Linked DNA regions of Arabidopsis thaliana. The protein of the gene in region 1 interacts with the protein of each later gene in a pairwise test. Each region holds a gene or a part of one and is shown on either strand. Other genes may lie near its edges. The genes, in order: bHLH121 and AT4G23770.

Evidence for each region.
Region 2: the proteins of bHLH121 (region 1) and AT4G23770 interact in a two-hybrid assay, tested with the Arabidopsis thaliana proteins (one large-scale study listed by BioGRID).

The regions. Positions count from the first base shown.
Region 1 is NC_003074.8:6,893,651-6,911,165, forward strand, and holds bHLH121 (basic helix-loop-helix (bHLH) DNA-binding superfamily protein), read left to right. Parts: upstream 1-10,106; 5' UTR 10,107-10,191; coding exon 10,192-10,339; exon of another isoform or gene 10,340-10,835; coding exon of another isoform or gene 10,836-10,917; coding exon 10,918-11,025; intron 11,026-11,106; coding exon 11,107-11,234; intron 11,235-11,494; coding exon 11,495-11,956; intron 11,957-12,045; coding exon 12,046-12,213; 3' UTR 12,214-12,557; downstream 12,558-17,515. Other genes in the region: PRP40C (pre-mRNA-processing protein 40C), read left to right, coding at 1-211, 523-606, 1,207-1,347, 1,478-1,584, 1,843-1,963, 2,198-2,338, 2,745-2,891, 3,017-3,139 and 1 more; AT3G19850 (Phototropic-responsive NPH3 family protein), read right to left, coding at 4,733-5,155, 6,169-7,347, 7,445-7,507; AT3G19870 (AP-5 complex subunit beta-like protein), read left to right, coding at 13,831-15,258, 15,450-15,889, 15,980-17,465.
Region 2 is NC_003075.7:12,381,661-12,397,878, reverse strand, and holds AT4G23770 (uncharacterized protein), read left to right. Parts: upstream 1-13,382; 5' UTR 13,383-13,828; coding exon 13,829-14,153; intron 14,154-14,273; coding exon 14,274-14,365; 3' UTR 14,366-14,715; downstream 14,716-16,218. Other genes in the region: AT4G23820 (Pectin lyase-like superfamily protein), read left to right, coding at 25-662; WRKY53 (WRKY family transcription factor), read left to right, coding at 4,140-4,543, 4,643-5,213; 3xHMG-box2 (HMG (high mobility group) box protein), read right to left, coding at 5,363-5,479, 5,570-5,654, 5,727-5,812, 5,901-6,071, 6,155-6,220, 6,305-6,410, 6,489-6,898, 7,322-7,651; TBL24 (TRICHOME BIREFRINGENCE-LIKE 24), read right to left, coding at 8,220-9,002, 9,097-9,389, 9,793-10,009; AT4G23780 (uncharacterized protein), read left to right, coding at 11,080-11,494, 11,573-11,676; AT4G23760 (Cox19-like CHCH family protein), read right to left, coding at 15,029-15,106, 15,762-16,034.

The DNA.
Region 1 (17,515 bases):
ACTACATGATTCTGGAATGCCTGTCTCATCTACGATAACATCTGAAGCAAATAGTGGTAAAACAACTGAGGTCACACCCAGTGGAGAAAGTGGAAATAGTACGGGTAAGGTGAAAGATGCTCCTGGAGCTGGGGCCCTTTCCGATTCTTCTTCAGATTCGGAAGATGAAGATAGTGGACCATCGAAGGAAGAGTGTTCTAAACAGTTTAAGGTGTTTTGAATATTTCTTGTGGTTTTTGTCTTTTTTGACATAGGGTTTAGTTTAGATTTCTTTTCTCATGTTTTTCTTCTTGCAAGTTAAATTAGCCATTTAGACACATCTTATTTAAAGCATTCTAGAGAAAAGTTTAGATCATGCATTGAAATTTTCCTCTGTAGAGGGGTCTTGTTCATATATCGGAATGCCATGATTCCTTGATACATGCCAACTTCTAGTGGACATTTTTAAGTTTGGAAACCTTGAAATTATTCAGATTGAAGATAATTTTCTAATATCCTGTTTTTTTTACTTGATCCTTGCAGGAAATGCTGAAAGAGAGAGGAATAGCACCGTTTTCTAAATGGGAGAAGGAATTGCCAAAAATTATCTTTGACCCTCGCTTTAAGGTCTGTCAAGCCTAAAGATCGTGACAATATTTTGATATCTTATTCTATTTTGAAATTCCACGTCCATTGTTTCTTTCCTTGCATGCGTTTGCAACTTGCACATTTCCAGTTAATGTTATTTGCGTCTATGTCAGCATTGTAACATCCATTCGTTTTGGGTGCTCAAATAGAGCACAAATTAAAGTTTCCTATAGATTTCCTAGCTCGGTGTAGAAAGAAGTTTACATCTATATTACATTTGGAAACAAGTCTTTCACTTTACTTATATTAGAGTCCATAACTAGTATCCTCACTGATTAATTGTTCTGATGCCTTGTATGCTAGCTAAATGATTTTCTGTAGAGAAAGAGTATGCCTTTGGTTCCTTCCAATGTTAGCTAAGTAAAGTTTTGAGGATGTTAGAGCCATTATGTGATATAGTTTATTCACTCCACCCATAATATGTTGTGTCGCCAGAAACTTCATTCTTATTTGCTAATTAGAATGTTAGAGGAACTATTACTGTGTTAATTTTCCAGCATTCCTGTTACAGTGCCACAGCTTGATCTTTGGACTTTTTCGATTATGTATTTTTATCCGGAGAGTTCATTTTTCTTGCAGGCAATACCAAGTCATTCTGTTAGAAGATCATTATTTGAGCAGTACGTAAAGACACGAGCTGAGGAAGAACGTAGGGAAAAGCGTGCTGCTCATAAGGCAGCTATTGAAGGTTTCAGGCAGTTGCTGGATGATGCGTCTACGGTAAATCTTTTTAAGGAACTGAATGTATTTTTACTTTGAGCTACCTGACGTCTTTAAACATTTTTATTATTTGGTTTGGGATGTTCTCAACTTCTATATCTCTTGTGGGAATGTATCCTCATTTTTCCAGGACATTGATCAACACACTGACTATCGTGCTTTTAAAAAGAAATGGGGGAATGATCTCCGGTTCGAAGCAATTGAGCGTAAGGAGCGGGAGGGTTTACTGAATGAAAGGTACCAATATAGATCTTGAGATCATATTCTATGTATGTTGGAAAGTTTGCTTATAGCCTTCAAGTTTACACTGGATGTGTCTTTCCCTGTTGCTTTGTGATGTTTTGGTTGTAACTGCAGCGGATCCTTTTGGGGAAGTTTTTCCTTGTACAAGAATGATATGCCCTTTATGATTTTATTTGTCTTCATGTGAGTTTTTGAGTGTTTGATAGTTTATACACTGTCTTGGCTCTTATATTTTCCCTGGTTCTGTTGCAGAGTCCTTTCTTTGAAACGAAGTGCTGAACAAAAGGCACAAGAAATTCGCGCTGCTGCTGCCTCTGATTTCAAGACAATGCTACGGGAAAGAGAAATATCAATAAATTCACATTGGTCCAAGGTATGTAGCATATTTGTTTCTATCCTTTGCGACCAAGAGAGATAGAGTATGGAAAATTTCTAAAGTTTTCAGGAACTTATGGTGTTTGAGGAAATTGTAATATTTACTTATTGAAGTTACAAGTATTAATTTTATGTATCTTATCTCTTATCAAATACATCATTTGATTGGCACCATTTATAACTGGTTAGCATATTCATACCACCTATATGATATATTTCCATATTTTATCAGGTGAAGGATAGTCTGAGAAATGAACCAAGATATAGATCCGTTGCGCACGAGGATAGGGAGGTTTTTTATTATGAGTACATTGCGGAACTAAAAGCTGCACAAAGGGGAGATGATCATGAGATGAAAGCCAGAGACGAAGAGGTAAATTAACTTTTTATATTCACAAATTACAATTCATGAAAAGCGCTAGAAAGTTCCACAATGTTTAAGCAGCCCTCTTATACTTTCTTTTCAAAGTGAGAATATTCACGTATTCCCTGTTTTCTGGCATGTTATATTACTTGATTGTTTGTTCTAATTTGAGAGACTTTGGAAAATATTATTATCATCAGATTCTCTGCATGCTATTGCTAGTGGTGCAGGAAGAAACAAGTTGTAAATTAGCGAATGTTATAGTTTGCTATACAAGATTTTTGGATCTCTTTTGTTTATGTGCCTGGAATCCAGCGTAAAAAAATAAAAATGATGTTTTACTGGCTATAAATGTGGTAAACTACATAGACACATAATGTATTTACGTCTGTGTGATTCCTGAATTTGGGTTCAGGACAAACTGAGGGAACGGGAGCGTGAGTTGCGGAAACGCAAAGAAAGAGAAGTGCAAGAGGTGGAAAGGGTACGACAAAAAATTAGAAGGAAAGAGGCAAGCTCCTCTTATCAAGCTTTGTTAGTGGAAAAAATCAGAGACCCTGAGGTATTTCTACTTCTTTTATGTAGCTAGCTAAAAGTTTCATTTGGGCTAAAGATGTTAGTTTGTAAATTGTTTACTCTGTGGGGATTCTGATTGGTTTTCTTTGTTACTTTCTTCAACATCTGAAGGCATCATGGACGGAATCTAAGCCAATACTTGAGAGGGATCCTCAAAAACGTGCCTCTAATCCAGACTTAGAACCTGCTGATAAAGAGAAGCTATTCCGAGACCACGTAAAGTCATTATATGAGGTACGTGTACTACTCAACTGTAACCCTTACCAAATCAAATTCTCAGCATTTTCTGCAACAAGATCAGAACAAAACTTAGTGTCAAGGACCTTTTCGGCTTATCTCCTTTTTGGTTGATTTGAGGAAGGAAATATACTATGGTTGCCTATTTCGTCTAAATGTTTTTCTTATTGTGCTTCACAGCGATGTGTTCATGACTTCAAAGCTCTTCTAGCTGAAGCGTTGTCATCTGAAGCAGCTACTCTACAAACAGAAGATGGAAAGACTGCGCTTAATTCTTGGTCAACGGCTAAACAAGTACTGAAACCCGATATCAGGTACAGCAAGATGCCGAGGCAAGATAGGGAAGTCGTATGGCGTCGATATGTTGAGGATATATCGAGGAAACAGAGACATGAAAACTATCAGGAGGAGAAACAACGAGATTACAAGACCTAAAAAAAACCTTGAACCAATAGGCTCTACCCCATGGCTTGATATGTTGTGAACAAAGATCACCATGTCTTGTTGGTTTTTTCCCTGTTTGTTAACTGTAAACTAAATAGTTTTTTTTCATGTTTCTACTTTAATTTTTCCGAACAGTATTGTTTCTGTCTAAATGTTTGATTTGGTAAGATCTTAATGTATACAATTAAATAAGATGTAGGTTTGTTTTTGCTTTGTCCAAAAATTTAAGGTTTGGAGATGGGAATAAGAAAATGAAGATTAAAAACGTTACTCCGAAAATTTTTAAGATTTACTTAAACCGTTTTTCTGAAAATTATCAATCAAATTTTTTATTCTGTAGTTATCACTTGTTAGGCTACGATGTAGAATCTACTAATATTGACAATCTAAAAAATATGATACTCTTTTGGATATATATTAATCATTACTACAGTTCAATCTATATGGTACAACTTTTATTTTCGTGCAAACAAAAAAATAAGAATCTATGTAGTACAATTTGGTAAATTGTATAGAGTGGAATGTTAGGATATGACAATTTTCAGTCTACGTCTGTGGTGTAATCTCAATATCCATGAATTTCAAGAATATCAAATCTGGAGGGGGGCATGTGACGTATATAGCCAAGAAAATATTTTCTCCCGTGATTTGATTTTGATTTTGAATTGTTTTGTATGCAATGCTCAATGAATTCAAAGGCCAACTTGTTCATCTATTAGTTTCTTTCGATCAGCATTTTTATTTTTATTTTCTAAAGAACCAGAAATCCAAATTTGAAGTGTATCCTATAATATTCGAAATCTGTACTTGTTATGTGAACTTGCAGTGACTAAAGGAAATGTGCGTCGTATAACAGAAACTGATTATTTTTTGTTTTCTACATCCTCTGAGCAAATGCCTCAAATCTAAGAGCAAATATAGAACGTATTTGGAAGTGTATAATCCATGATTACTCAAATTACAAAATATCCATTTTATTTGCATCCACAAGGACATAATTATATGCATTCTCAAAACTACGTAAAATACATTTTGCATGAAAAAGCTTATAATATACACGAGACGTGCATGTGTGTGATGATGATATGATGACATAAAAATCTATATCTAGAGAAATAAGAAAAAAATGACGAGTGAATTAATTATTTAACAAAGCCTTGGAAAACTAGAACTTGAATGTGTATGTCCATGTCTCACAGATCTTGACATTACTTCACTCTTCTTCTCCTTACTAACTTTTTCAGAATTATTCCATTGCTTCCTCTCCAAATTCATCATTAGATCATCTTCAAACTTCTCCGACATATCAAAACCTTTCAAACACACCAGTATTGGTTTCTCTTCTAAGTACTTACGTGAATTCCAGATCTTGTTTACTTTGTTCTTGTCCTCTCTTGAGTGTGGTCGAGTCTCGTTTGATAATTGTTGTGACTTGAGTGCTTGAACTGCAATATTTGGAGGGATCTTGGGATTTTTTGCAAGTTGTTTGCATGTGTCCAATGTCAATTTCTTGTAGTTTAGACATCGACATAGTTTTGTTCTATCCTCGGATGATAGTTTCGGATGAGACTGCATAATCATAGTTTATATTAGTTCATGCCTTCAAAATATATTGACTAAACAAAACCAATTATATAGTAAAACTGTAAAAGTACTAAAAAAGCAAGAAGACGCCATATTGATTTTTCTTTTCTTTGCAAGATCACATTAAGCTTAATTAGATTGAACATATTTAGTTTTCACGTGAAACTAATCTTGTTCTTCTTATTTAGAAACTTAATAATAATAAATAATTAGTCAAACAAAAGACAAAGTAGCTAGATTCTGATCACATGAATGTCCAGTAACCAGGACAATATATAACACAGTAATTACTCATTAGCACCCTATTCTTTTATTTGTTTACTATTTATAACCACATAACATGTTTATTAATTAATGTTTTTATCAAACAGTATTCGAAAATTGCAAACGCAAACATACAAACCAATCAAAACGTCTGTGTGTCGTATTTGTGTTTGCAAATTTCAAGTGAATGTTTGATCAAACATTAAAACTGTTTTTTTTTTTTTTGTTAAACAACGTTAAAACTGTTATGCTTTTAAAATACAGACAAAATATTCTAACTAGTAGAACACAGAAATCCAAATGTAAATGATTTGCGTTTGAAAGTTTCAATATAATTCCACTTATTTAAGTTTTAGGACAATTATTAAAATTTTGCCACCAAAGTTACCACTAGTACTTCAACGTGTATGAAAGTAGTATGCACATATATATGCAATTTCAGATTTTCGAATCTTTAGATATCACAAATAAAAGAAAGACAAAAAGATAAGTTAAACTCTTTCATCTATTCTCTTGAGAAGTGTAAAAAGCCAAACTATATAGAAACTTGTATACTTCTTGTCATCTTCTATTTCACTCTATTGTTTGTTTTCTTTTGCTAAATCTCTACTTTGTTTGTTTTTGTCTCATTTTGTTCAATATCTTTTTTTCCAAATCAACGTGCAATTATTTGGAAAATAAATCTATTAAAAAAAAACAAGAAAAAACAGAAATGTAATGAGTGAAAAACTGACCTCAAGATAGATGTTAATGGCTCTGTATAATCCATCAAACCAATCTCTAGCTGAATCTGGCAAACTCTCTGCAACTTCAAGAAACTTTGACACTTTAAGATTCTGGTCTGGAGATATCTCTCTGAGATACTTATCAATCAACTTCCCAATTCTTCTCATTCTCAAATTCTGATCTCCTTCTTCTGTGTTTCCAATTCTTACAAACACTTTGAGTAATCTTATCACCAAATCCACATCGTAAACCCCTTTTTCTCCTTTTCCTCCAGCTGGTATCAGAAGATCATCAAGTGTTGCTTGATCCAGCATTTCTCCTATAACCCTCTCTAAACCAATTCTTGATTCTTTACTTATGCTAAATCCCGATAAAACTCGCAGAACCCAGAACATTTTTCTGCATGAAAACGCGGTTTTCGCTGCGAAAACCACTCCTTGAACCGCTGTATCAGCTAAACCTGAATACTCGAGCTTGTTGGTTGACTTGTTTGGGACCTTTGTCTTGAGGTAATGGAGAAGAAATTTTGTGAGGACCAAGCTGTCATTGTTCTTATCATGCGCACCAAGTGTATTTATCAGCTTTTCAATGATTTTTGGCCCGAGAATTGACATATCGTCGAACCACCACTCGTTACTTGTCCTGCAAGAAAAAGACCTCGAAGTAGACCTTTTGTCTGAATACGACCTAATCATTGCCGTCTCCGGCGACTGAGAGGAGGCTGAGGCAGAGGCAGAGGAAGACGGAGAGGATGATGAAAAGACATGACTCACGTCTGAATTCTGAGGGATTTTGGCTAAAACCCCGAAAACAAGCTTATCAACAAGACCGTAAGAATCAGCGTGTAAGAACACTTGCTCGCAGCTCTTGAGACACAATACGATGTCGTTCCAGGACCAGTAGAACATTCCTTCTAGAAACTTCTCTGTTCGAAGCAAGAGATTCGAGGAACAGAGTTTCTCTGTCATCTCAAGGAAGACAGAAGAGCAATGCAAAATGGACACATTTGAGACATCTATCGAGATTCCTCCACCATAACAGAATCTTAAAACCAAGTCGAACCCATCTGACCCACCTGGAAAATCTTCAACCTCGATGATGATTCTACTGTTCTTGTGATTCTTTTTCTTCTTATTGCTCTGTTTTATCATCTTCCTCAAGAAGCCTGAGTACTCTGAGATCAAATCCTAACCCAAGAAACAGAGAAACAGAGTTTAATTCAGAAAATGGAAACAGAGGAAGTTAGGGTTTGAATTAGTGTGGAGATTTGATTTGGTTTATTACCTGATTGACGAAGAAAGTAAATTGGTTATTGAGATTGATTTGAAGATCACAGCAAAGAGACATTGTATCAACTTCTTTTGCATTTGGTGAAGATGAAACTTCTTGTGAGCTTTCTTGTTCTTGTTCTTCCTTTTGGATTGGAGAGAGAGAGAGAGAGCAATAATAGTTATCACATGGAAACGGCTATTTATATATCTCTTTTTCGGCGTCTTTATTTCAATTATCTAATGTACACTTTCTTTTATCATCCTTTATAACTCATATAAATTTATGCAAAAGGAACTTATATACAAACGTCATCGAAAAATTGTATAAACTGGTCGCATGGACCAACTTGTAACCCTAGTGTGTAGACCATCTAAAATAGTGAAAATGTAATAATTTGTTGCCGTTTGTAATGAAAAAATTATTGTTCGTTATTGTTTAGTTTTTTTGGTATTAGATAATAAGATTCATTGCTTAATCGAAATGTACTATATGATATTAATTTTGGAGCAATTAGCTTGACATGCATAGTTTACTTCTTTACATTAGAAAACCTTTTTTCTAACATCGAACTTAAGAAAAGTTATATAAACTGCATTAATTGACTGCATGTTTATTTTGAAATCCATATAATCTTGTGTGCAGAGCACAAATCAATATGACGAGGCGTTGTTAGTTGTTACTAAAAATAACCAGGTGCAAAGATTGATTCCTTAATGCTTCATTGATCAGGATGGCCAAAAAATAAAATAAAAATTGGTGTTAGAGGAAGAAAAAAAAAATACAGTAGGTGGGTAAACAAACAGCAGGGAAATAGCTTACAATTTGTTGAGAATAATTCATAATTATGACCAACATTATTCAGGTTATTTGGGGTAAAGTAAAAATGTATTGCATCAAATCAAATAAGATTTACATTTTAGACAGTGAACTATAGGTCACGACTAATATCAAATATATATTTCCAGTAGCACAGAAAATGATGCTTCATGAACTCTCACTTATGACTTGTCAATAGCTCAAGGACTATGCTACTCAAGTTGTAATATATATATTCTGTATTTATATGCTGTTTTATACACACGTAACGTATATATGAATGTGCCCCCTTTGTTTTTATGTGAATTATAAATATTCTCCCTTTCTTGGCATTACATTATAAATTCGTAATACTATTATTCCACTTCCATGTAATTTCAAGAGTTTTCTTCCCTTTTTATTTGTAGAATATTTATATATCAGTTGCTTGTAAAGTTGGGAGTTTCACTTTCATTGCATGTGAATGGGCCGGGTAGGGTTTTATGACTCTAACGTTTGTGAATAAAGTCGACTACTTGCTTTTCATCATTATCCAAATCCAGCCATGTAAAATATATGTAATTGAAAACGATATATGTAACAAAAATGTTATAAAAAAAAGATACACCAATGTCGATATACATTACGACTCTTTGAGTACAAAATAAAAAAATATGACTAACTTCCGATAATAGTTTTTATTTATTATTAAAAATGAAGTTTCCAAATAAAATATCATTTTAATATCCATACAAATTATGAATAGTATGTGAGGTTTAGGGCAAAGTCTTCTGAGGGTTCATCAATGGGATGGGAGTGGGACGAAGAAACGAAGGCGACGAGAGGATTTAGGTTTTATTGTTTTAAAATTTTTGTGCTCTAGTATTTAAGCCCTTTAACAGGATTTTACAGGGACCAACAAAAATGTAAAGCCCCAAAGGAAGAAGCCCACTTAAAAAATACTAAAGTAAAAATAAATAATTAACAGGCCCATTTGGCCTCATCGACTAAAGCTAGCCCAAAAAGAGGATACAATAAAATTACATAAATTTTGTGTCCTTTTCGATTTAACTTTTTCTTTTAGAAGAACAATCCTTTGTTTTTTTGTGCAAATCTTTAGAATCTCGAGACCAAAACTTAAGTAATCATCAAAAATTTTGTCAAGTTTACATTTCTATGCCAAAAATTATACAATATCATAATGTTCAAGCAGTGCTCTAGAGAGCAAGAAAAAAATGGTTAAGACATAAAAACTAGTCGGCTAACACTGTTCAAGAACCATGATTTATTTGCTTCATCAACGAACTGATTATAATTCAAATATTACAACAGAGCGGCAAATCATTCGAAACGCGGTACGAACATTAAAATTTGATGTGCATTTTGGCCAAAATATTTGTTGATGGATTCAATTGGGTAGTGGAAGAAGAAACTGTCAAAGTACACCTACTTTGCAGTCAAGTTGTAAGAACATAAAGTACGTATTTTTTTACAATTTCTAAATATACTAAAAGCTTGCAGAAAGTATGTATATCTAGAAGTACGTATCTCTTACGTTTGTGAAAACTATTTTTATAATTTGACAATTTTAAATGATTTGATTATTACACAAAAATAGTCGAGGTTATGTAAAAATATTTTTTAAAATTTTCGATATTTTGTCCGGTACAATTATGTCACCATCTCGATTCAAGATATAAAAGAGTTAATTTAGTTTCACAATAAAAATCTCGTACTTACTTTTCAAACTTTATAATTGTGTTGGATAAAAAGTACAATTGAATCTTTTAAAATCAACAATGAGTGTCTGTTTTGATAAATGCATAAATTGGAGTGAAAAGAAAAAAACAATTCCAGCTTTTGCGAAGTTGGACATATTAAATTCTACACAATTGTTTTTTTTTAAAAATACAGAATTGTAGATAGAATGAATATTGTTTTTTTTAATTAAAATAATTGAAAAAATGGGGATAAGAGAAAATGGAATAATGCTTGTGAGCAGAGAGAGAGAGCGAGCGAGGAGGCTAGAGAATCGAGAATCGATCTTCGCCGAACCACCTTGTCTTCTCTTAGCTCATCGAATCTCTCCGTCGCCGTCGATTCTTCCCGCCGGTGAATCTCTGCCTTATTGTTTTCTTCAATTTGATCGTCCTGAATTCATCGTCCTATTTAGGGTTTCGATCACAATCTGGTACTTCTCTTAATCAAAGGAATTTTTATTTTGATTTTGAGGGTTTTATTGGTTTGAACTTAGCTCTCTAGCTCGTGAAAGTGTTGTTAGTTCGTCGTGGAAATCAATTCCTTCCCTGTGTTCTTCTTCAACAACGTTTAGTAATTTTTTCGTAGATGTTTAAATCTCTAACTTGTTGATAGAGATAGATGTTATTATTGCCAAATTAGGTGTACAAAAGAATGTGGAATTTTCTGTTTGAGATTAGCTTCTCTAGTAACCTTCTTTGCAATTCATGATGCCAATTGCTAAGTATGTAACTATGTCTGGTATGTGAGCTGGGATCATATGATACCTGACTATCGACTCAAAGAGAATTATGTTAAGTCAATCAAGGCTTAGTTCTGAGGCTACAGTGTGTGTGGTCGATGTGCTGTTATGGTGGAATTGGATACTAAAATATGTCTAAGAGTGGGACTGCAATATGACCTTCTTAGTTTATTCGATGTTTTGGTTGCAGAAGAGGAGGTCATGGACGTTTCTGCTAGAAAGTCACAAAAAGCTGGGCGCGAAAAGTTGAGGAGGGAAAAACTGAATGAGCATTTTGTTGAACTGGGAAATGTACTCGGTATAGACTCAATGGTTATGTGGATTTTTCTAAACAGCAGATGATCTCACTTTGATCCTCACATAGCTCTTCTGTTTGCAGATCCAGAGAGACCCAAGAATGACAAAGCCACGATTCTGACTGATACTGTTCAGTTGTTGAAAGAGCTCACATCTGAAGTCAACAAACTGAAATCTGAGTACACCGCATTGACAGATGAGTCCCGCGAGGTTCGTACCTTATCCCTTACGCTCCAGGCTTTTCCTAACAGAAAAAATTAGCAGTCTACATGACGTAAAGATATCGATAGGGATCCCAATATAGATAACTCATTGTCTTTTTGCTTTTACGATATGGTGACTACACCTATTTCGTAAGATGCAAACTCAGACGGGCTATATAATGTAACTGCTTATAGGACTTGTTGTTATCATCAATAGCAACACTTACAAATTTACTGGTACTTGTATAACAACGGTTCTTTCTGTAGTTGACACAGGAGAAAAACGACCTGAGAGAAGAAAAGACATCGCTGAAATCAGATATAGAGAATCTCAATCTTCAATACCAGCAGAGATTAAGGTCAATGTCTCCATGGGGAGCTGCGATGGATCACACAGTCATGATGGCTCCACCACCCTCCTTTCCATACCCTATGCCTATTGCTATGCCTCCCGGGTCAATCCCAATGCATCCATCAATGCCATCTTACACATACTTTGGGAACCAGAACCCTAGCATGATCCCAGCTCCATGTCCTACATACATGCCCTACATGCCTCCTAATACAGTCGTTGAGCAACAATCCGTGCACATTCCACAGAACCCCGGTAACCGTTCTCGGGAACCTAGAGCAAAGGTTTCAAGAGAGAGCAGATCTGAGAAAGCAGAGGACTCCAACGAAGTTGCAACACAACTCGAATTAAAAACCCCTGGATCTACTTCTGATAAGGTAGAGAGACTTAAAACTAGAAGCTAGAGATCTCCAATTTTTTTCGGATTTATTATCTTCACAGTTATTCGCGAAATTGTATTTTGAAGGATACATTGCAAAGGCCAGAGAAGACAAAGAGATGTAAGAGAAACAACAACAACAACTCAATAGAAGAAAGCTCTCATTCTAGCAAGTGTTCATCTTCTCCGAGCGTACGAGACCACAGTTCTTCCAGTAGCGTAGCTGGTGGCCAAAAACCTGATGATGCAAAATGATTCGAAAGAATCTGATGTTGATCATCTCAAGTATCCAAGTATCGTTTCGATGAGTACTGTATATAGTGCGAGTACAAAATGCACTTAGCTGTTTAAAGCAGTGTTTTGATGCACCGTGGCATTCGTTTTCCTCGGATAGTCATTTCTCAGATGATTTTCATCCTTAATAGGTCTGCTTTAGTTCTAAAACTCGGATGATTTGTAATTTCCAGTGTCCAAATCTACTAATTTTATTAATCCTATAAATTAAACAAACTTATATCTTGATTTTTTTTTAAAAATCATAGATTATTTATACTATTGTACAAAAAGAATTACATTTAAATCGGTAAATATAGTTTCACCATAAATATATGGTTTCATTAATATCATAAATTAGTAATGATATAGATATATCAACAATATATATTTATATATATATTATATGTAAGAAATTTCTTTGAAATATATTTTTAATATTTAGTTCTCATTTGTACTTATTTGAATTTAGTTCTAATATTTTACTGTATCAAAAAAAATTTGGTGTTATTTTTTAGACATGAGAATTATTTTTTACTTATAATTAGTTATAAAAAAAATATTTTTTATAATGAAAGAAATCTTATAGTAAAAAATTACTATGAAAAATTTCTTTATAAATTAATAAAATTTTAGAATCCCAACATTATTAATTTGTAAAGGTTTTACTGTAGTTAAGTTCAAGTTCAATTTAAGCTGGTGCTAAACGTTAGCTACGTGTTCGTATGATGTCAACTGTCTAGATACAGGAAAATTTCTCCGAATATACAGCGACTACACATCAACCATAGAGAACAGTATGAAGTAAATATACCCTCTATCCATCGCATATGTAGTTTGTGGGAGTGCTCTGTTGGTTTCGCTTTCCTCTGATGTTGTATACCCTGTATTGTCAAATATGACTGCGACACGGTTCCCACTCATCTCATAGACCGCTAGATAATAGTCTGCATGTATATAAAATAATTGTTAAAGACAAAACATAGGGCATACCCAATATCCTTTGTGCATAGTATTTAGTATGTCATGGAAGTTAACTAGGTCTTTGAGAGTTCGAACGCCATGAAGAGCAAAAGAAAGAGAGGAAATACGGAAGAGAAAGACAAAACAAACTAAAAACCAAAAGACATTTGACCTATCGTTTCTGTTTCACAGGACGACCATAAGATGTAAAAGTCTTGCCCATCCATTCCACAACCCATTATCGATTCACAAGGCAACATAAGAAGAAGTTTACATTTCGATGAGCTAGAGCAATTCTCTAGCGCAGATCACAAACAACCAACTCCAACCTCTGGTTATACTATCCAAGATTTTTACAGGATGGTGCCTGAGGCTGCCAGGTTTCGAAGGAATAAAGAGTTTTGGTGTAGCAAGAAAAATTAAGTTACAAGACACTAATTATATTGTAGATAGAGACAGAATTGAAATAAAATATGGAACATAAATAAATAATTAGATAAATGAGTCAGCAGCTTCGGTGAATTGTTCTGTATCTCGGAGTATTACTGCCGGCGACGAGGATAGTCTTATCTTCTCCTCTCTAATGACTTTGATTCATTTTCCTCTTCAGATTCAAATCCTAGATTCAATCGGAGAATGACCACGACGACGCCGGAGAAGACTCCGGCGAGACCTCTCTCTATCCAAGATTGGGACGTTCTCATCGACGACTTCCGCGACGCCGGCGCTCCTCGCGACTGGTTCACTTCCGTTTTCCAGATTGATTCTCTGGTGGACTTCGCTCTCTCGTCTCTCCTCAAAAAAGACTTCCCTACACCAGTGAAGCTCTCAATCCTAGTCTTTCTCGATGAATTTTCCCCGATTTTGTTTGATAATTGTGGTAGCGATACCTTTGATCGCTTCATCGATGTTCTCCGGACGATCGTGCAATCTCCAACTGATGGATCGTCAGGATTGAAAGAGCAAGCTATGGTCTCTTTCACGTCTGTGCTTGTATCGATTGATTCTTTCTCTGTAGGTCACGTTGAAGCAGTTGTTGATTTGCTTCTTGCGCTCGTTAATCGTCCTAACCACGGATTTGATCGACAAGCTCGTGCTATCGCCTGTGAGTGTTTACGTCAGCTTGAGAAAGCTTTTCCTGGTTTGTTATCTGATGTCGCTGGTCATCTTTGGTCGTTGTGTCAAGCGGAGAGAACTCACGCCGTGCAAGCTTATCTTCTCTTGTTCACCACAATTGTCTACAATGTGGTTAATCAGAAGCTTAAGGTTTCACTTCTTAGTACCTCTGTACCTTTGGTGCCTTTTAATGCTCCTAATTGGATGCGTGATGAGAGTTCGATTATGAGTCAAGGTCAAGGGTTGGGGCCAGATCAGAAGGAACTGAGACGAACATTGGCTTTTATGTTGGAATCTCCGTATTTGTTTACTTCTTGTGCTATGATGGAATTTATGGGTATGGTTGTGCCACTTGCATCGGCGTTGGAGTTACAGGCTTCTATGTTGAAAGTTCAGTTCTTGGGGATGATTTATTCGTTTGATCCAATGCTTTGTCATGTTGTCTTGCTTATGTATTCTCGGTTCCCTGATGCGTTTGAGGGACAAGAGAAAGAGATCATGAGACGTCTTATGCTCTTTTCAAAGGAGACTCAGATCTATCTTGTTTTCCGTTTGCTTGCGCTGCACTGGTTAATGGGTTTGTTGAATAAGCATATGTTGAGTGGGGAGCTTGAGAAGAGGACATCTGTTCTTGAGATGGGTCAGAAGTTTCATCCTGTCGTTTTTGATCCACTCGCTTTGAAAGCGTTGAAGCTTGATCTGCTGGTACAATGCTCTGTGAGTTCCAACGCTTTGAGTGGAGGTGATAACAGTAAATCTGCTGGGGATTTGTTGCAGGACTGCTTGGTATCGGTTTCGGATTTCAAATGGTTGCCTCCATGGAGCTCAGAAACTGAACTAGCATTCCGCACTTTACACAAGTTTCTGATATGTGCATCTACACATTCCGACTCTGACCCTTCCACCACTAGAATCCTTATGGAGTCTAGCCTCTTCCAAAACGTGCAGGTCTGTAGCTCTCTTTACTTGCTTCTTGGTCTTGCTTGATGATGGTTTACTTTTGCTAGTTTTCAGAAGGAACGGAACTGTGTGGCCCTTTTTAGTTCTAATTAGCTTTTAGTTCAGGAACCAATCTTTTGCTGATTCTGCTCTCAGATATACTCTTCATTTGTTTTGATTGTCTTCTATATTTAATTCAGGGGTTGCTGGTAGACATGACTTTGGAGTTTCAAATCTTGGTCCCTGTTATTGTGGCTTTTATTGAGCGGTTGATTCACTGTCACAAGCATCAGTGGTTAGGAGAGCGGTTTCTTCAGATAGTCGATGAGAATCTGCTTCCCAAACTTAAGAAAAAAAACTTATTAACAGCTTACTTCCCGCTTTTCCATCGAATAGCCGAGAATGATACAATACCTCCTTCTCGATTGATAGAGCTGCTTACGAAGTTTGTAATTTCACTTGTTGAGAAGCGCGGACTTGATGTGGGGTTGAAATTGTGGGATCAAGGAACTGAAGTTCTTGGCATCTGTCGAACATTGATGAGTCACCATAAGAGCTCTAGATTATTTCTCGGACTCTCTCGCCTTCTTTCCCTCACATGTCTCTATTTCCCTGATCTGGAGGTCCGAGACAATGCTAGGTATGACCATGACACCCACGTAAACGAATCTTTCTAATATTTATGAATTGTGATGACGTTAACTCTACCTCATAAATTGGTACATTGTAGGATATATCTGAGGATGCTGGTCTGTATACCAGGACAGAGAATTAAGAACATTTTGAAGCCGGCAGATGCTGTCACTCCATCAACCCATTCTTCTACATTTTTTAGTGTTCAAAGTCCTCGTTTTCGTCATGATCCTAGTAAATCTCGGAACCTTTCATCCTATATTCATCTTGAACGGGTTACGCCCCTACTCGTGAAACAGTCATGGTCATTGTCTCTACCATCTCTAAGTGTTGGAACTGATGGATATAGCATTATAGAAAACAAAATCCAGGTAGATGAAGTTGAGCCGGATGGCAGTCAAGAACTTCAGATTTTGCCAGAAGCTCGAAGAATTGAATCAGGAAAACCTACGTTAAGGGTAATGGACTCAAAGATTGCAGAGATTCTAGAAAGATTAAGAAGATATTTCTCTGTGATTCCTGATTTCAAACACATGCCAGGAATTAAGGTTAGAATAACGTGTACTTTGAGATTGGATGCTGAACCATATAGCAGTATATGGGGAAGTGAAACTCAGAAAATCGATTTAGAGAAAGTCGACTCACCTCCTGCGATTTTCGCGACGGTGCTCAAATTCTCATCTTCAGCCCCTTATGGCTCTATTCCCTCATGTCGCATACCTTTCCTTCTCGGTGAGCCTCATTGGAACAGCAATGTACCCAATGAAGAAGTTTCTTTAGACATTGTCGTGGTAGAAAACACACTGAAAGAGGAGGAAAAAGATGGCTTGAGAGGAGCACCTGTAACAGTGGAACTGGAACCTAGAGAACCTACACCAGGTTTGGTCGAGGTTTCAATGGAAGCAAATGCAGAGAATGGTCAGATGATTCAGGGAAAACTCGAGAGTGTCCCTGTGGGGATTGAAGACATGTTCCTAAAAGCTCTTGCTCCACCGGACGAACCTGAAGATACAATACCGAGCTACTACTCAGATCTATTCAATGCTTTGTGGGAAGTGTGTGGTTCTTCGTCCAGCACTGCACACGAAACATTTGCACTAAAAGGTGGCAAAATGGCTGCAGCAGTCAGCGGGACTCGGTCAGTAAAACTGCTTGAAGTCCCTGCGGAAACTGTAATACAGGCCACTGAGCTTCGTTTAGCGCCCTTTGTGGTGGCTATCAGTGGAGAACAGCTTGTAAACATTGTAAGAGACGGAGGAATTATTGAGAACATTGTGTGGAAGGAAGAGGAAGAAGAACAAGGGGATCACACAAATGCGGACCAGCCTTCTTCATCCTCGGTGGGATTAAACCGAGGCCCTCTTCGTCTGACATACATTGGATATGGAGATGACCAAGAGGTTCCGATGACGAGAAGTAGGGGGAAAATGGGAACGATAAAGATGCTGATGTTTCTGCCGCCAAGATATCATCTAATGTTTGAAATGGAAGTTGGGCAAGGATCGACATTGGTGCATATAAGAACAGATTATTGGCCTTGCTTAGCTTATGTTGATGATTACTTAGAAGCTTTGTTTTTGTAATAATAGCAGAGACTTTCACTATTTTCTTCTTATTCTTTGGGCCCAACCTA
Region 2 (16,218 bases), on another chromosome or scaffold:
TGAACAAAATGAATTTGTTGATAGATTCCAGCTACAACGTCTGCATAGAAGACTCCTACATCTCAACAGGAGACGACCTAGTGGCCATCAAAAGCGGTTGGGACCAGTACGGAATCGCCTATGGCCGTCCAAGCTCAAACATAACAATCCGCCGCATCACAGGATCTTCCCCGTTCGCAGGTATCGCAATAGGAAGCGAAACATCAGGAGGAATCAAGAACATTATAGCAGAACATATCACTCTCTCCAATATGGGAGTTGGAGTCAACATCAAGACAAACATTGGTCGTGGAGGATACATTAAAAACATCAAAATATCAGACGTCTATGTAGACACCGCAAAGTATGGGATCAAGATCGCCGGCGACACGGGAGATCATCCGGACGAGAATTATAACCCGAACGCTCTTCCAGTTGTTAAGGGAATACATATCAAGAACGTTTGGGGAGTTAACGTTCGAAACGCTGGCTCTATTCAAGGTCTTAAGGGCTCACCATTTACGGGTATATGTTTGAGTGAGATTAATCTACATGGAAGCTTGAATTCGTATAAGACGTGGAAGTGTTCGGATGTCAGTGGAACTTCACTAAAGGTTAGTCCTTGGCCGTGTTCGGAGCTGAGAACTACCGGCGGGTCTAATTTGTGTTCTTCCACATTCTAAAAACTTCTGAGCAAGTTCTTACCTCTTTGGTTCAATTTTTTTTTGAAATAATTTATCTCCAGTTTGCAGTTCCTCCATTTATATATATGTTTGTACTTTGTATGTTTTAAAAAAATTATGTAATGAATTGTAATTTGAAAAATGAAGAAAGTTTAACAAAATAAGCAAGTCTTTTTTTGTGAATGCTCAAGTTTCTGGGAAAAAAGAAGTTGGATTTATAACAGTAAGATTGATGGTATACTGGACATATACCGGCTCTAAAGACAGTTGGGCTCGATACTACAAAGGCTCGAGTAATAATTTGACAAAAGAAGGCCATGTAACATTGCCAAATTATTCAGAGGACAGCACGTCTTATCACTTGTCTAAATAAATAGCATTGATATTACAGTATATGGAATAACATGAGATTAGATAAATTAACATGATATTTGTTAAAATAACACGAAATCTATTCTTTTTTTTTTTTTTGATAACATAAGATAATTAATTTATTTATTTATAATTTTCCCTCCATTGGTTTTGTAGATAAGAAACTAAAGTTAGGCTATTTAATGCGTATATCTATTTATGTACCTCAATAATTTGAATTAGTGAGGAAAGAGTTAAAGTTGAAGGATAATAAGTTTATTTTAAGTGTGAAAATGTCGAATATGTGTTGACTATATCAAAGGGATTGAAAGCAATGTTTTTCCGTACATGAGTTTTTTTTAAATTGTTTGGCATTTTCCTACTTTACTAATTTATTGCTGTTTTTAGCGAGTCCAATTGGCTACTGATATTTGGCATAGCAAATTATATTTTTTTTTCATTCTACTAAAAATACTGTGCAGCGTTGACACACACACACAAAATACTGTTGCGTAATTAGAAATAAATGCGATACTTAATGCCGTAAAGTTTACAGATCATACAAAAAAAATCTTCTTGGTTTTGTAATGAAGCAATGCAGAAATAATATGTCAACTTACGTCATTATCTTGTGAGCTGATTCAAAGATTTCAAGAGTTATGTTTTGGATGCAAATATGTCAAATTACATAATTTCAGCTGATTCTATGAAGTGTAAATACAAATTTAGGGTGCAAAGTGCCAAGATTCATTTTATAAGGATGAATGATGAATGAGATCCAAATAATAATAATAATACAATGAATGAATGACGCAAAAGAGAGTGACGCCATTATAAAAATTAAAATATCATTTGGAGTACTAAAACTAGAAAACAAAAAAGAATGATAAAAGGGAAAATCCACGCGGAGAGAGGTTTGAAATGTCTTCGGTCCAATCCTGTCCTTTTGAATATTGATTTTCTTTTTGATTTTTCTTGCTTTTTATTAATCAACAAATCTGTTTTTTGGAATTACGTTTTTTCTACGTTGAAGTGATTTTTTTTCCTTTTGTAAAAGGCCTACGTTGAAGTAAAATTACATAAATAAATGTATGTTATGAATATCGACCCAAAAAACAAATTATTTCTACACTATACTTTGCGCAAATCAAATCTATCGAAAACGATTTTGGTAATCCCATTCCCATGAGTGAGTTTTGACCCAAAACAAATTTAAAAAAGTAACCATTTCATTAGTAAAACGGTAAATATGGTTCATAAACCTTTTAGTGGTTATTGGTCCTGTACACTACACTCGTGTGTGTCAACTTCAGCTATGAGATTTTTGCTGTAACTTTTTGGATAACGGTTCAATTATTACAAAGGTTATTTCTTACGTATGAGAGGTCCAAATTACAATTGAATAATATTTGATGACATACAAAGTTAAAAAGGATTAATCATAAGAAATGAATGTTGGAATGGAATGCATCTATCGATCTGACTACTTTAGATAGCTTGATGTTGGACTTAGTCAGCAAAGACCTTATCATACTCTTGTTGTATTGTATATATCGTATCACACAGTGACTGGTTTTTTCTACTTTTCTCTTTGGAACATATCAATCATTATGTATAAATAAATTTTGTCCAAATTAATGGCCATTTGTCTCAACCATAAATAAATATTTATTCACACACCTATATGACTATTTGAGATAATTCCATGGTGACTTGGTCAGCAAAAACCTTGTCATACTCTTGGTGTATTATCACATAACTTTGTAGATTATATTCTTATGGAACATATCATATATATTTGTCCAAATTAAACCCATTTGTATTATTTTCCCCTCTCGAGTTTAATATTTCTTATTTAGAAACAGTTAACAACTTGACATAGCTCACATAATCACTCACAGACTATATATGTATAAGCAACTACCATTTTAAATATTATTTAGTTATATTGTTAGACTGCAACTATTATTTATTTTCTTTGCCAAACAAATTTATATTTTTTCATGTTAATACAATATTATATCTTGAACAAATGTATGCTTAAATATATTGACACAAAACAAAAACATATAGGGGTTTTTAGGAAGAAATTTTGTACAGATTAATTAATCCTCATCAGATTTTTATTTTATATCTTATTTTTAGAAGTGTATGATTTTAAAACTAGAACAATCAAATCTTAGTAAATTTCATTCAACATAATTTTTATGTTATTGCTAATCTATTGAATGTTAATAAGAATTGTATTATACCAAATTACCAATATGTGTTTTGATACTTGTACTTAAAACAGAATGTGGAATATCCTTTCCCTTATTAATGATATTAAACATCATTACAATTCATAGTTATAGCAATGAAATATTATCCATAGAAAGGTTGTTGCATAATGCATACTAGTAAAGCATCAACCAACATATTTTGAAAATATTCTTAATCAAATAAAAAACATATATTGGAAATTCTTTAACAGTAGAAAAAAACATATAATAATAGAGAATCTTAATCACATGTACAAAGTCGTAGTTTTGAAAGTGTACATTGAAAGAGACAGTTGTATAACCCTTTGTTGTCTAATTATATAATTAACCCACTATAGTTAAATAAATGATAAACTTGGTTACAACTACATTAACAAAATTGAAATGTTGAATTGGTCAGCCTTTGACCTTATACTCTTTCACTACCACCACCCCACTTATCAATTACACTCTGGCCCTATACTTCCTTATACCAAAGACTTTTCTTCAATTTGAAAGTTTTGTCTCTCTTTTAAAAAGAAATAAAATAATTATTTATGGTTTGGTCATTTGGTCAAATTTTCAAACACTGAAAATCCAATGCCTTTATATACCAAACCAACACTCATCCATTTTTATCACCAATCCTATAACACTCTCATTCTCATCATATCATTCTTCAATCTATATAACCCATTCTTAATTATACTCAACACACATTATATTTTTCTGATCATATCATTCTTTCAGTCCATCTATATAACCAATTCTTGATTTATACTTAAAACACACATTATACATCTTTCTCATCATAGTTTGTATCAATTTCCTAGAGTAAACTACCTAAAGGAAAAAAAAAATCTATTTTGGGAATCATATACTAAAAATGGAAGGAAGAGATATGTTAAGTTGGGAGCAAAAGACATTGCTAAGCGAGCTTATCAATGGATTTGATGCGGCCAAAAAGCTTCAGGCACGACTTAGAGAAGCTCCGTCGCCGTCGTCATCATTTTCATCACCGGCGACGGCTGTTGCTGAGACTAACGAGATTCTGGTGAAGCAGATAGTTTCTTCCTACGAGAGATCTCTTCTTCTGCTAAACTGGTCATCCTCACCGAGCGTACAACTTATTCCGACGCCGGTTACTGTAGTCCCGGTGGCAAATCCCGGCAGTGTTCCAGAATCTCCGGCATCGATAAACGGAAGTCCGAGAAGTGAAGAGTTTGCCGATGGAGGAGGTTCTAGCGAGAGTCATCATCGCCAAGATTACATTTTCAATTCAAAGAAAAGGTAACAAATTGTTGATATCTTTTTTCACAATTCACCAAATTGAATTTAAAAATCTCATTTTTTCTAGAAACTAATTTGAAATTTGGGTAATTTTTGCAGAAAGATGTTACCAAAGTGGTCAGAAAAAGTGAGAATAAGCCCAGAGAGAGGCTTAGAAGGACCTCAAGATGATGTCTTTAGCTGGAGAAAATATGGTCAAAAAGACATTTTAGGCGCCAAATTCCCAAGGAGTTATTACAGATGCACACATCGTAGCACACAAAACTGTTGGGCAACGAAACAAGTCCAGAGATCAGACGGGGATGCTACGGTTTTCGAAGTGACGTACAGAGGAACACACACTTGTTCGCAGGCGATCACAAGAACACCACCATTAGCCTCGCCGGAGAAGCGACAAGACACCAGAGTCAAACCAGCCATTACCCAAAAGCCAAAGGATATTCTCGAGAGTCTTAAATCCAACTTAACCGTTCGAACCGATGGGCTTGATGATGGTAAAGACGTTTTCTCGTTCCCTGATACGCCGCCGTTTTACAATTACGGAACTATCAACGGCGAGTTCGGCCACGTGGAGAGTTCTCCGATCTTCGACGTTGTTGACTGGTTCAATCCAACGGTCGAGATTGACACAACTTTCCCCGCGTTTTTACACGAGTCGATTTATTATTAATTAAAATTTGTAACAGAGAAATAGATAGTAACTAGTAAGTAATGATCAGCGAGAGTTAAAACATAAAAGTACTTAGAGTAATCTAACGATGCATAATAAGGAATGTTCAACAGGACTTGAACATGATTTCAATACTAAGAGAGATTTATCTAGCTACTGGTAGTAGCCGCAGACTTCTTGTTGTAAGCTTCCACTTCCTTTTTGTATGCTTCCATCAGTTTTGCGGCCTTTCCGTTGTAAACTTGCTTCTCTTCTTCACTCAATTCCTGCAAAGACGTATTCGCACAGATAGATTAACAACAGGAAATTGTTACAAGCCAATGTGTTTTGTTGCTAGTAATTGTGATTTTTCATACCTTCCATTTCAGTGAAATGAGAGCAGTAACAGTAGCGTTGTTTGTCCCGGGACGTTCTTCTGTCAATTTCTTCCTTTCGTCCTTGCTGTAAAAACATGATAAGTTAGGAACTTTCTATAAAGACCAATTCGGATTATAACTTGAAGTAAGTTCATACCTGAAGAGAAAGTATGAAGAAGCAGGCTTCTTTGGTTTGTTAGGGTCAACGTTTTCGTTCTTCTTCTTCTTGGTCGCCTTCTCCTTCTGCAAGAGACAAATAATTATGATCCTGTGAGTCTCTGAGTTGAAATAGACCTTGGTGAGTTAAGTGTGAGTGAGAGAGAGTTATTACCTTGATCAGATTATCAGTTTTCTCCTTCTTCTTAAGCATTTGAAGAGCTTCTTGTTTGTGGAGTTTCAAGAGTTCCTCTTCTTCTTTCTTCTGACTCAGGGCTTCTTCTTCCTTTGTCCTCTTGTATTCCTCCATTGCTTGCAGGTATGTCTCCTTGTTCTTCTTTGCCACCTATTTAAACAAGAATACCTCAATCATTCAGTCTTAAGTCTTTAATGGCAGTGAAATGCAAGCATATTTGTATGGAAACAGACCTTCTCGTAGGGTGCCTTTTTCTTGTCTGACAAGTTCTTCCACTCCTCTCCAGTGATCTTTGCGACCTATAACCACATTTAAACTCCATAAGTTAGCTTCACAATTTGACAAAAACTGATCTGGAGAACGAATTAAGTAATTAGATTTACCTCCACGACGCTTTTGTTTTCTTCGCGTAAAGCAGCTCTCCTCTCGTTTGCATAAACAAGGAAGGCAGATACGGGATGTTTTGGCTTCAGAGGGTCCTTCTCCTTCCTGCAAACCATAAACAGCTCTAGTTAGTTTACTATTGATGATCAAATTGATATAGTCACTAAGACTTTTGGTTTTTACTTGTTCTTCTTCTTGTTGTCCTGTTCAGCTTCCTGGACAAAGTTGAGATACTGATCAAGCAATTCCATTGCAGTTCTCTGCTTCTGGTCATCCTCCAGAAGCTTCATGGCCTCCTTCTCGCGCTTCTCCTTAGCAATGACCTGGAGGTAAGCTTCTTTCTCAACCTGGTACCTTTCCTCGTAAGGCTTCTTATCTTCTGCACTAAGAGACTTCCATTTAGCCCCCAGAATGTTCGAAGTCTCCTTGAAGTCAGCCTCAGGGTTTTCCTTCTTGACTTCAGTCCATTGATCTTTACACCACAAAACGTATGAGGACGATGGTCGCTTTGTCTCAGGACAATCCTTTTTCTTCTTCTTATTCGCCTTTTCTTGCTCAGCCTGTGTGAGAGATGACTGACCGCAAGCAAAAGTCTGAAGAGCAAAAAACACAAAACACTCTCGAATCAATATCCAGAAACCAGTAAATATTTTCTCATCATCAACAACAGATAACAAGGAATTGTCAATTGAAATGAACATATCACTATATTAGCAACTGTGTCAACAACAAACGCATCATACACTAAACGAGAACCAATCCTGACTCTGACTTAGATTCTAATCTCTAACCTATGAATCTATGACGAAACTTTGATCAACTATCAAAACAAAATCTCAAATGATCAATAACACATTCGGAATAAGCATAAACCAGATATATTCCAACCTAATCTAAACACCTAGATCTAGAAACTGACTATCAAGCCAAAATCTGAAATGATCAATCAATAAATTCCAATATAATCACAAAACCCAGCCAAATCGAGAACTAAAAGCTAGATCTAGAGATTATACCATGTTAGGTTTGAATTCCTTCATCTTCTGAAGCTTCTTCAGCTCCACCTTGAGCTTCTCCTGCTCAGCGTCTCTGGTCTCTAGCTCCTCCTCCTTCTTTCTCAGAATCTCATCCTTCTCCTTAAGTAACTCCTCCGTCTTATCCTTCTCGATCTTCATCTTCTCCAACATTGTCTGCATCTCCATCAGATCTTGCTCGAAAGACTTCGCTGACTTCCCCTTGACGGAGACAGGCGATGGTGGCGTCTCCACGAGCTCATTCTTCTGCTTCAACGCCTTTCTACTGTTCCTTGGTTTCTTCGTCGGAGCTGGATCTGCGTTGGTCGCCATTTCTAAAGTCGAAAATGAGAGAGAGTGAGATTTCGAAATTTAGGGATTGAGAATTTTAGGTGGAGCCTCCGTAAAATATCTTCGGGGTTATATAGAAAGAAACACAACGGTCTGATAAATTCGAAATTCAAAAAAATATTTCGTGGATTTGATACTTCTTTGGCGTCCGAGGATATATTTGTAAATTGTTAATCTTTTTGAATTTTCAACAGTTGGAAGAATATTTCTTTAATTTCCTTTTTTGAGGGATTTTGTTTATCTTTAAGAAATGTTAACTCTTATCACTTTATCAGTGAGATCTAAACCGATTTCAACCGGACAAAATCTGGTGTAAACAGAAAAAAACATAAATAATGATTTTACAAAACCGGAAAAAATTAACTCAATTACCAAACCGGTTATGCTTCCTTCACCGGCTAGCTCCCAAGAATCAATATCACATTATCTCAATTTTTCTTACATAATTTTACATGTTTCCAATTCACACAAATTTGTTCAGTATTAGTCTATTTATTTCCATAGAACCGGTTTTCCACTGGCCATGTACCAATCACATTTTGTGTGCCTCTCAGCCATTTACTATAGTCTCCAATATAACATCATTCAAGTAATCAAACGGACCAGGCAAGCACCAATGCAAACAATCGTTCTGTACCTTTGCATTTTTGTCTTTATCAAACGGCCTGAACTGTCGGTACTCACCCGGATGACCGTCCGGTCGGGTCAGCAACATCCGGGTGAAATCCAAAAGCTTTAGATTCCCACCGTCCTGGTTAGTCTTCTCTCTAACCGCCCTCTTGAACTGATCAATCTCAATATCTTTTAGTATCTTATGTACATCCTTAATCTCAATCTCCTCATCGCTCACCGGCTCTGTTTGCTTACACGTCCCGCCACTATGCCATTCCCCGTTTTGGAAATGATCGGGAGTCGAAGTCCGAAAGAAAACCGTGCCTTTACTGTTATCTTCAGCTGCTAGAAAGTCCATGACATTATGCAGCGATGCGTTATAAGCATAGTCGAATCCTAACTCTTCTATGTGAGGTTTTTCCTGACAGTTATGGCAACCGACGAGTTTTGCATTTTCGTGGTAAATTGCGGATTTAAGAAACCATTTACCGGTTGAGATGATCGCATAGTCGAAGCTAGGCATGAGACTGGTCCATGTCTCATCGAGTCTATCAAGATGTAGCTGAACAGAAGCGGTCGAGACACCGTTAGAATCTTCGAAAATAGCGGCTTGAACAAGAAATGGCGACCATATGTTGGATACAGTAAGGTTATGTAAAGGGAAATGCCAACGTTTTGATTTGTACTCCATGTCATGGTATACTTCAACCGGTTCTTCAATCTGGAGAGACCCCAAACAAAAATGAGTTTCTCAAGAACTTGAAAAGTAAAAAAAGTCGAAACAAAGATATGTTAAAAGCAAGCAAGTGTTATACCGTAGAGAGCATACAAAGCAGTGATTCGACGTGGTTACGAGATATGGAGTCACCAATAAATGCCCAAGATTTATGCCTCATAAGTTGAAGAAATCTTCTAGGGTCAAAACGTGGTAACAAACAGTCATGAGGTTTCCATTTCCAGTAGAGAAAATCTAAGTCAGGCCGGCCATTGGTGATACAATTTTGGTGACCGTCAATGAGTGATCCGCATGATTTGTTTGTGTAGATTGGTCCTACTGAATCTGGGATCCATTTTCCGGCGAAAAGATCACACTTCTCTACTTCAATATCTGATTCAAGAAACAACAACCACCCAAAAAAAAAATTAAGTCTCAATGTGAGATCAACTTTGATACAAAATGTTGTAACACTAGTCCAAGATCAATTTATTAGAAACCAGTCTTTGAACATTGCAGCTAATTAGCATCACTTATCAAATGATACAAGTCACCACAAGAATAACTTTAAATTAGAAGAGCAAGATCCATGAATTGTCATTTCCTTTTTTCTATTCTCTAAACCACAATCTAAAAAAAAACGTAAACAGAGCTTTAAATCTTGTAGATCCAAAACCCTTAGATCTCATAAATCATAATTGTGCTCACAAAACAAGGTTTAGTCACAAACAGTCAAACACAGTGGACAATACACATAGAAGTCAAATACTTTTGCTTTCTAAATAACTGATCTTACCTTGAGGAATCAGATCTTCATTTTCCGGTACGATAATCTCCGGCGGCAGAAACCGAGCTTCGAATTTTCCGGTGACCGACGCAAAGATTGGAGAAAACTCGCTGGAGTGGAGAATGAAGAGACGGAACGCGAAAAAAGATATCAGAATAGCGGAGATGAGCTTGATGAGAAGCACATTCTTATGATTCATGGAGATTGATGACAACTTCAACTTCATCTCAAGAAGAAGATGAAGATATGCAAACAGTTCAGTGAGTTGTTTTTGCCTTTTTGGTATTTGTGTGTTATGTTTATTCGACCGACCAAAGCTCTGGGGACTTTTCTTTATTATATGTTACTAAATCATTCGACCATTTCTAAAAAAGAACCATACAGTAAAATAATGAATAGAGACGTATTAATCTATTAATCTGTTTATATCACACAATTAACCAGACTGGTGATATAATGTTTGTTTCAATTCCTTCAAACACTATTTTATAAAAGGATTTCCTTAGTTAGTTAGTTTAATTACACTAAAATACTCAGATTTGTAAATTTTTTAACGATATTGTTATACATCTTTTTCCAAAACTTGAAGCACATTTTCAGACATTTATGATCAATATCATCTCATATAAATACATTCAAATCCATTGATATGAAGGATCACCTAATTAGGAGACCAGAAGTGTAATTAATTAACATGGAAAGAGTAGAAAACAAGGAAAGGCAAAAAAAGAGTTCAGACAGCAATACTTGGTGTTTGATTGATAATGGGCTTGGGCCGCTGGGCTAATGATTTGGGACTAAAATAAATATTAATTTTTGAATAATGATAATTAATTTAGTTAACTATCCATCTTCTTCGTTAACGTTTCCACTCTCTGCTTTCGTCTTTTCCCGCTCTCTGTTTTCTAGGGCTCATTAATCTGTGTTCCATTGTTACGATTCGACCTTTTCTGCACAATTTCTCTCATCTAACCGAGCTTATTTCTCTGTGATCGAGAAAAGATCAGCAATTTTACTTTCCGAGTAAGATTTTCTCGGGAAAACTCCTTTTCTCTGTTTCTTTAGTTTTCAGTTTGCATTTGGGAGAAACTGATAGGAATACTTTTGAGAAAGTCTGAATCTTTCGATTTTTTGCGAACATTTTAGTTTTGGTAGCTCAGTGGAGATTTGGGGTTTAGGGTTTTTGTAGAGTGAGACTGTGTGAAAGTTTCTAATTTGCGAGTGATTTCTCAGAAAATCTTTGTGGTTTTGTGTATTTTGTGTTATTTACAGGCTTAAGCTTGAACTTGAACACCAATGTCTAGTCTTGGGAACCAATCGGAGAAGAACAGCAATAACAAATTTTCCGATAATGTTCCACTAGCTCAACACGAGATTTGGAAAGAGAAATATGAGAGTTTGGTGACAGAGCACGAGAATCTGGTGAAAGAACATGAAACCCTAATCAAAACACTCGAGCTTATAGAGAAGCACGAAATCACATTAGAGGATTTAGTGAAGAAGAAGCAGCGAGAAGCATTGGTTGGGAAAGAAGAGATTGAAAAGTTTGACAAGGAGATTGGTGAAAGGAAGAAGATGCAAGAGATGCTTGATAAGGATCTTGAATACTTAAAGTCTTGTGAAGAAACTGTGATGAATGGTATGAGTTCAGGACCAAGTGGTGCAAGAGTTGCAGACAAACGTAATGTGAACAAGTTTGAATCACAAGAGGGTAATTTTAAGTGTTTTTTGATATGTGTCTAACTAAATGTGTTAGCATTACATAAACTAAACATGTTTCTATTTGCAGATGTGATAGAGATTAGTGACGACGATGAAAGAACCCAAAGTGAAAGCAATGTAGGAAACTGTAACTCATCACATAAGAATTTAGAGTACTCCTTCATATTGTGATCAAGATGTGGAGATGGAGAAGCACAATGTCAGATGTGGTGGTGAAACTGGAAGTTTCAAAATCTTTGGAAGTTAGTAGAAGTAGATGACTATGAGTCTCTCTGATGGACTAGGAGGGTTGATAAGATATGAAAGTTTGTAGTGTAACTGTGTAATAAGTGATTTAGCCCAACACAAAGTTGTAAGAGAAGCAGCTTGCATCATTAATCTACTTTCAGATTGTTCTATATAGTAACAACTAAACAAAAATTGAAATAACTAGCTAGTTTATGATATTCATTGAATCTGATGATAAGTTTATTCCTCTTGGAAGATAGAGATGATTATAGCTTAGGACAGGGAAGTACAAGGTCCTCATTTTTTTTTGGCCTCAAAATGATGTTTTTTGACTTTGTACCTTTTTTGATCCAAGTGCACTCTACTTCTGCAATCATAGAGTGCTTCAACAAGAGAGGGATTAACTCCAGTATTGCCCTCAAAGCATTCTTCAAACGGAAAGGTCTTCAAGCAAAGGTATTGTATATAAGGTTGTGATTGGCGACACAAAAATTGCGGATTTCAACACCTAATTCGAAAAACCGCACTATTGTTACCAATCACCATTAATTATTACATATACACGTTTTTTACTTTTCTATCAAAACACTATTCGCGTTTTTCAAAATAAGCTAAAAACTTACAGACCGCTTTTGAAAACAACAAACTTCCATAATCATGCGGTCCAACCAATTCCGCAGTAAATTTTACACATATGTTTTATTGTATTTTTTAATTATTAGAAGCATTTTTATAATTATATATATAATTTTTTACCCAAATAAACATATCTAAACTTTTCTTTCGCTTTATTATAACCTGTCTTTTTTTTTCTCTCTCTTTTTTCGACATCATCATACTTTTCTTTAGGTTCTATTATATAGAGAACTTTTGGAGTTTGGAAAAAAAAATGGAGGATTCTTTCTGATTTTTCAAAATATAATGTTCGTATTAAAAAAAAAGTGGTAATGGCTATAATGAGATTACATAATTTCAAACTTTTCAGATGCAGATTTTGCAAATGTAATAACAGAGACAAATAAAAATAATAGAGATTTTGATCATGATTTAGATGACATAGAAGTAACAGAGATAACAAATAAAAAACATATGACGCAAATAAGAGACAATATTACAAATATGTTATGGGAAAATCAAATTAATAAATAATATTTTTTAAATATTTTTATGATGAAATTAGTCAACACATGTAACGATATGTTTGTTATAAAATTAAATTTATATTTTGATCAATTTTTGTGTTAGTAGTTTATAAATATTTGTTATTGTTTATTTATTAACACAAAAAAATAATTAATTAATATATATATATATAATTTATAATCCGCACTGCAAGTAGTTTTTTTCACCAATCAAACATTATTTTGTACCGTTTATTTTGTACAAACCGCACTAATTCTGCAAATATATTTCTTCCGCACGTACCGCAGTTGAACCGTACCGCAGTGTAATAACGCTTTCCCCGCACAACAAAAACAGCGGTTACCATTCGGACCCTAAGTCTCTGCATATAAAATCTGGAATATGGTTAATCACTAAAACCAATCACTAAAGTAAAGTTGAAGGAGACAAGAAGAGTGTATCAACTGGTGAAGATGGGCTTGGGCCACTTGGCTAAATGAGTGGTGGAGATTAAAACTTAAATATTATTTTTGAACAAGGAAAATGAAATAAAGTATCATCTTCTTCGTTACTAAACACTCGTCTCGCCTTTTCCCGCTCTCTGTTTTCTAGGGTTCCATTGATACGATTCCATCTTTGTCGCGTAGTCTCTATCATCGACCCGAGCTCCTTTCTTTGTAACTGAGAAAAAGATCGACTTTTTTCTTTTCCGAGTAAGATTTTCTCAGGAAAAATAAATCCTTTTTTTCTCTGTTTCTTTTGGTTCCGGTTTGGGTTTAGGACAAAAATGGTGTGAATCCGTTTGAGAAAGACCGAATCTTGTGGACTGTCTCTAACATTTTAGTTTTGTTTTTGGTTGCTCAATAAAGATCTGAGTTTTAGGGTTTTGTAGATTTTAAAGTTTCTCTTTTTAAGGACACATTTCCAATTTTTTTTGTTAATCAGGTTAATCTTGAATTGATTAAAGACAACAATGTCTAGTCGTTTGGACCAATTGGTGAACAAGTACAACAAATCGTGTGAAAATGTTTCATTTGCTGAACACATGATTTTGAAAGACAAGTATGAGAGTCTGGTGATAGAGCATGAGAGCCTAATTAAAACGCTCGAGTTGCTAGAGAAAACTCATGGATTCACTGTTGAAGATCTGGTGACTAAGCAAAAAGAAGCATTGGAGAAGAAGGAAGTGATTGAAAAGTGGGAGAACAAGTTTGGTGAAATGGAGAAGAAGCTAAAGACTGTCGAAAGGAGTATCGAATACATAATGTCTGTTGATGTTCAAACCGGTGTGGATTCAGGTAGTGCAAATAGACCTAATGTGAAGAATAGTTATCAAAGAGGGATATTTTAGTGTTTTTGATATGTGGTGTGTCCACTTACTCTATCAAACCATGTTCTCTGACTAAATCTCTATGCAGATATGTCGACTAGTGAGGACGATGATGGAAACCGAAGACAAAGAAAAGGAAGACTCATTAACTCATCAGATCATGACCACTTCATTCTTTGATCAAGATCTGAAATCAATTTAGGAGATGGAGAAGAAGCACAGAGTCAGAAGTGGTGATAATGGGAAATTTCAAATCTTTTTAAGTTAGTAGTTCTTGTTGCTTTTATTTCTAGTAGGTGTATATGACTATGAATATCCGCTGCATTGTTCTTGCTATTGGAGTAAGGAGATTAAGATATGAAAGTTAGTATGTTAAGTGGATTTAGTATCACATAATAAGGTAGTAAGAGAAGCAGATTCCATCTTAAATCTACTCTCACATTGTTCCATAAACCGTTGAAAAAGAATTAGTTTAGTGATTGAACATGTTCTGTGTTCTTTAATGAATATCTGAAGATGATGAGCAATAAGAGAATCTGATCAACGAAAAAGATAATCTGTACGAATGAAATCGACAACACGGTAGTAAAGAAGTAGTTTGCAACAGATGATTTGAATAAGTTAGCGATCGAGGATGAGAGATTAGCCAAAATAAGAGGGAAAGTCAAATGTAGAAACTTTTATTTCTTCTTATAAATATGCTCTTTAGAGTTTGCAATATTCAACATACAAGACAACAAAGGGGAAACAAGGCATGACCCAGCTTATGAATCCAAGGCATGACATTAAAATCAATTACATGATTACAACTCAAACGATAAAAGAAAATCGGAACAAAGAACGTTATGAAGGTCTCTTTGTAGCTGAAGCTGCTCCCTCAGAGTCGTGATCTTGACTCGGTATCGAGAACTTCTTTACTTTCTGTAACATTCATTGTTCAAAACAAAAAGCCAAAAACTTCAATGAGAAATAGAGAGATTTCACTAGTTTGCACTTAAACGTGATTCTGTAAGGATCCATGTTACGCATAAAAGTTATAACCCATCAAGATCAAGACCAAGAATGGGAACAAAACCAGTTCCTACTTTGATTGCTACCTATAAAAAGAGACTAATAGTGAGCTTTCTCATTCTCTAATGGCTTCCACAAGAAAATCTGTAGTTTCTCAAGAATCATCATTGCATTGTTTCTACTTTTCTCGAGAGTAAGGGTATTAGCTTAGAGTAACCTAGTGTCTATGACAATCACTCAGAAACTGTTAAGTGTAACCACAGAGTTATTAACACAGATGTATCAAGTAAAGCTCCAAATGCTCCACCAATAACTTGGCATTTACATATTCATTACTCAGTAGTAGAAAAAAATGTGATAATTTCTCAAAAGTTTTCTATGAGAGACCAAGAGCAGCTCCAAAATTGTCATAAAGCATAAGTGACAATAACGATTCGATATATCTTGATCGATCGATGATAGAATTTTAAAATTTAGATACCTTGTCCTAAAAATTCAACTGACTTATAAAAAAAAAATGAATCACGAGCTCGTAGATCAGTAATTAGAGCGATAAAAAACCAACCTTTGATAGAACGCATTCTCTGAGAGATTGCAAAAATCGGACGCATTTCTCTTGATCGAAAGGAGACTCCGCGACGCAATTGAGAAGTTGGAGAGCCTCTTGGCCGCAAATTGGTTGAGTACTCTGTTTCTCCATTGAAGGTATAAACCCTAAAGAGGGGTTTCTCAGAGAGACAAAGATGTTTCCAGTGAGACGGATCACCCACGATCTCGGGGGCGACGACTCAAAAAAGAACAAAATCTTTAATGGGCCATAAAGCCCATCTGAGTTCATTCATCAAAGCCCTTTTAAGCTTTCTTTAACTCTTGTTCAAACTTCTTAATTAGCCCATAATGTTTTGACTATCAGAACAATATTTGATATACATACAATTATAGTCGTGGATGGTTGGTAGATGATAGATCGTCAAAAAAATTAATGAATGACGATGTAGTATAGAAGAAACACAATAATTTAA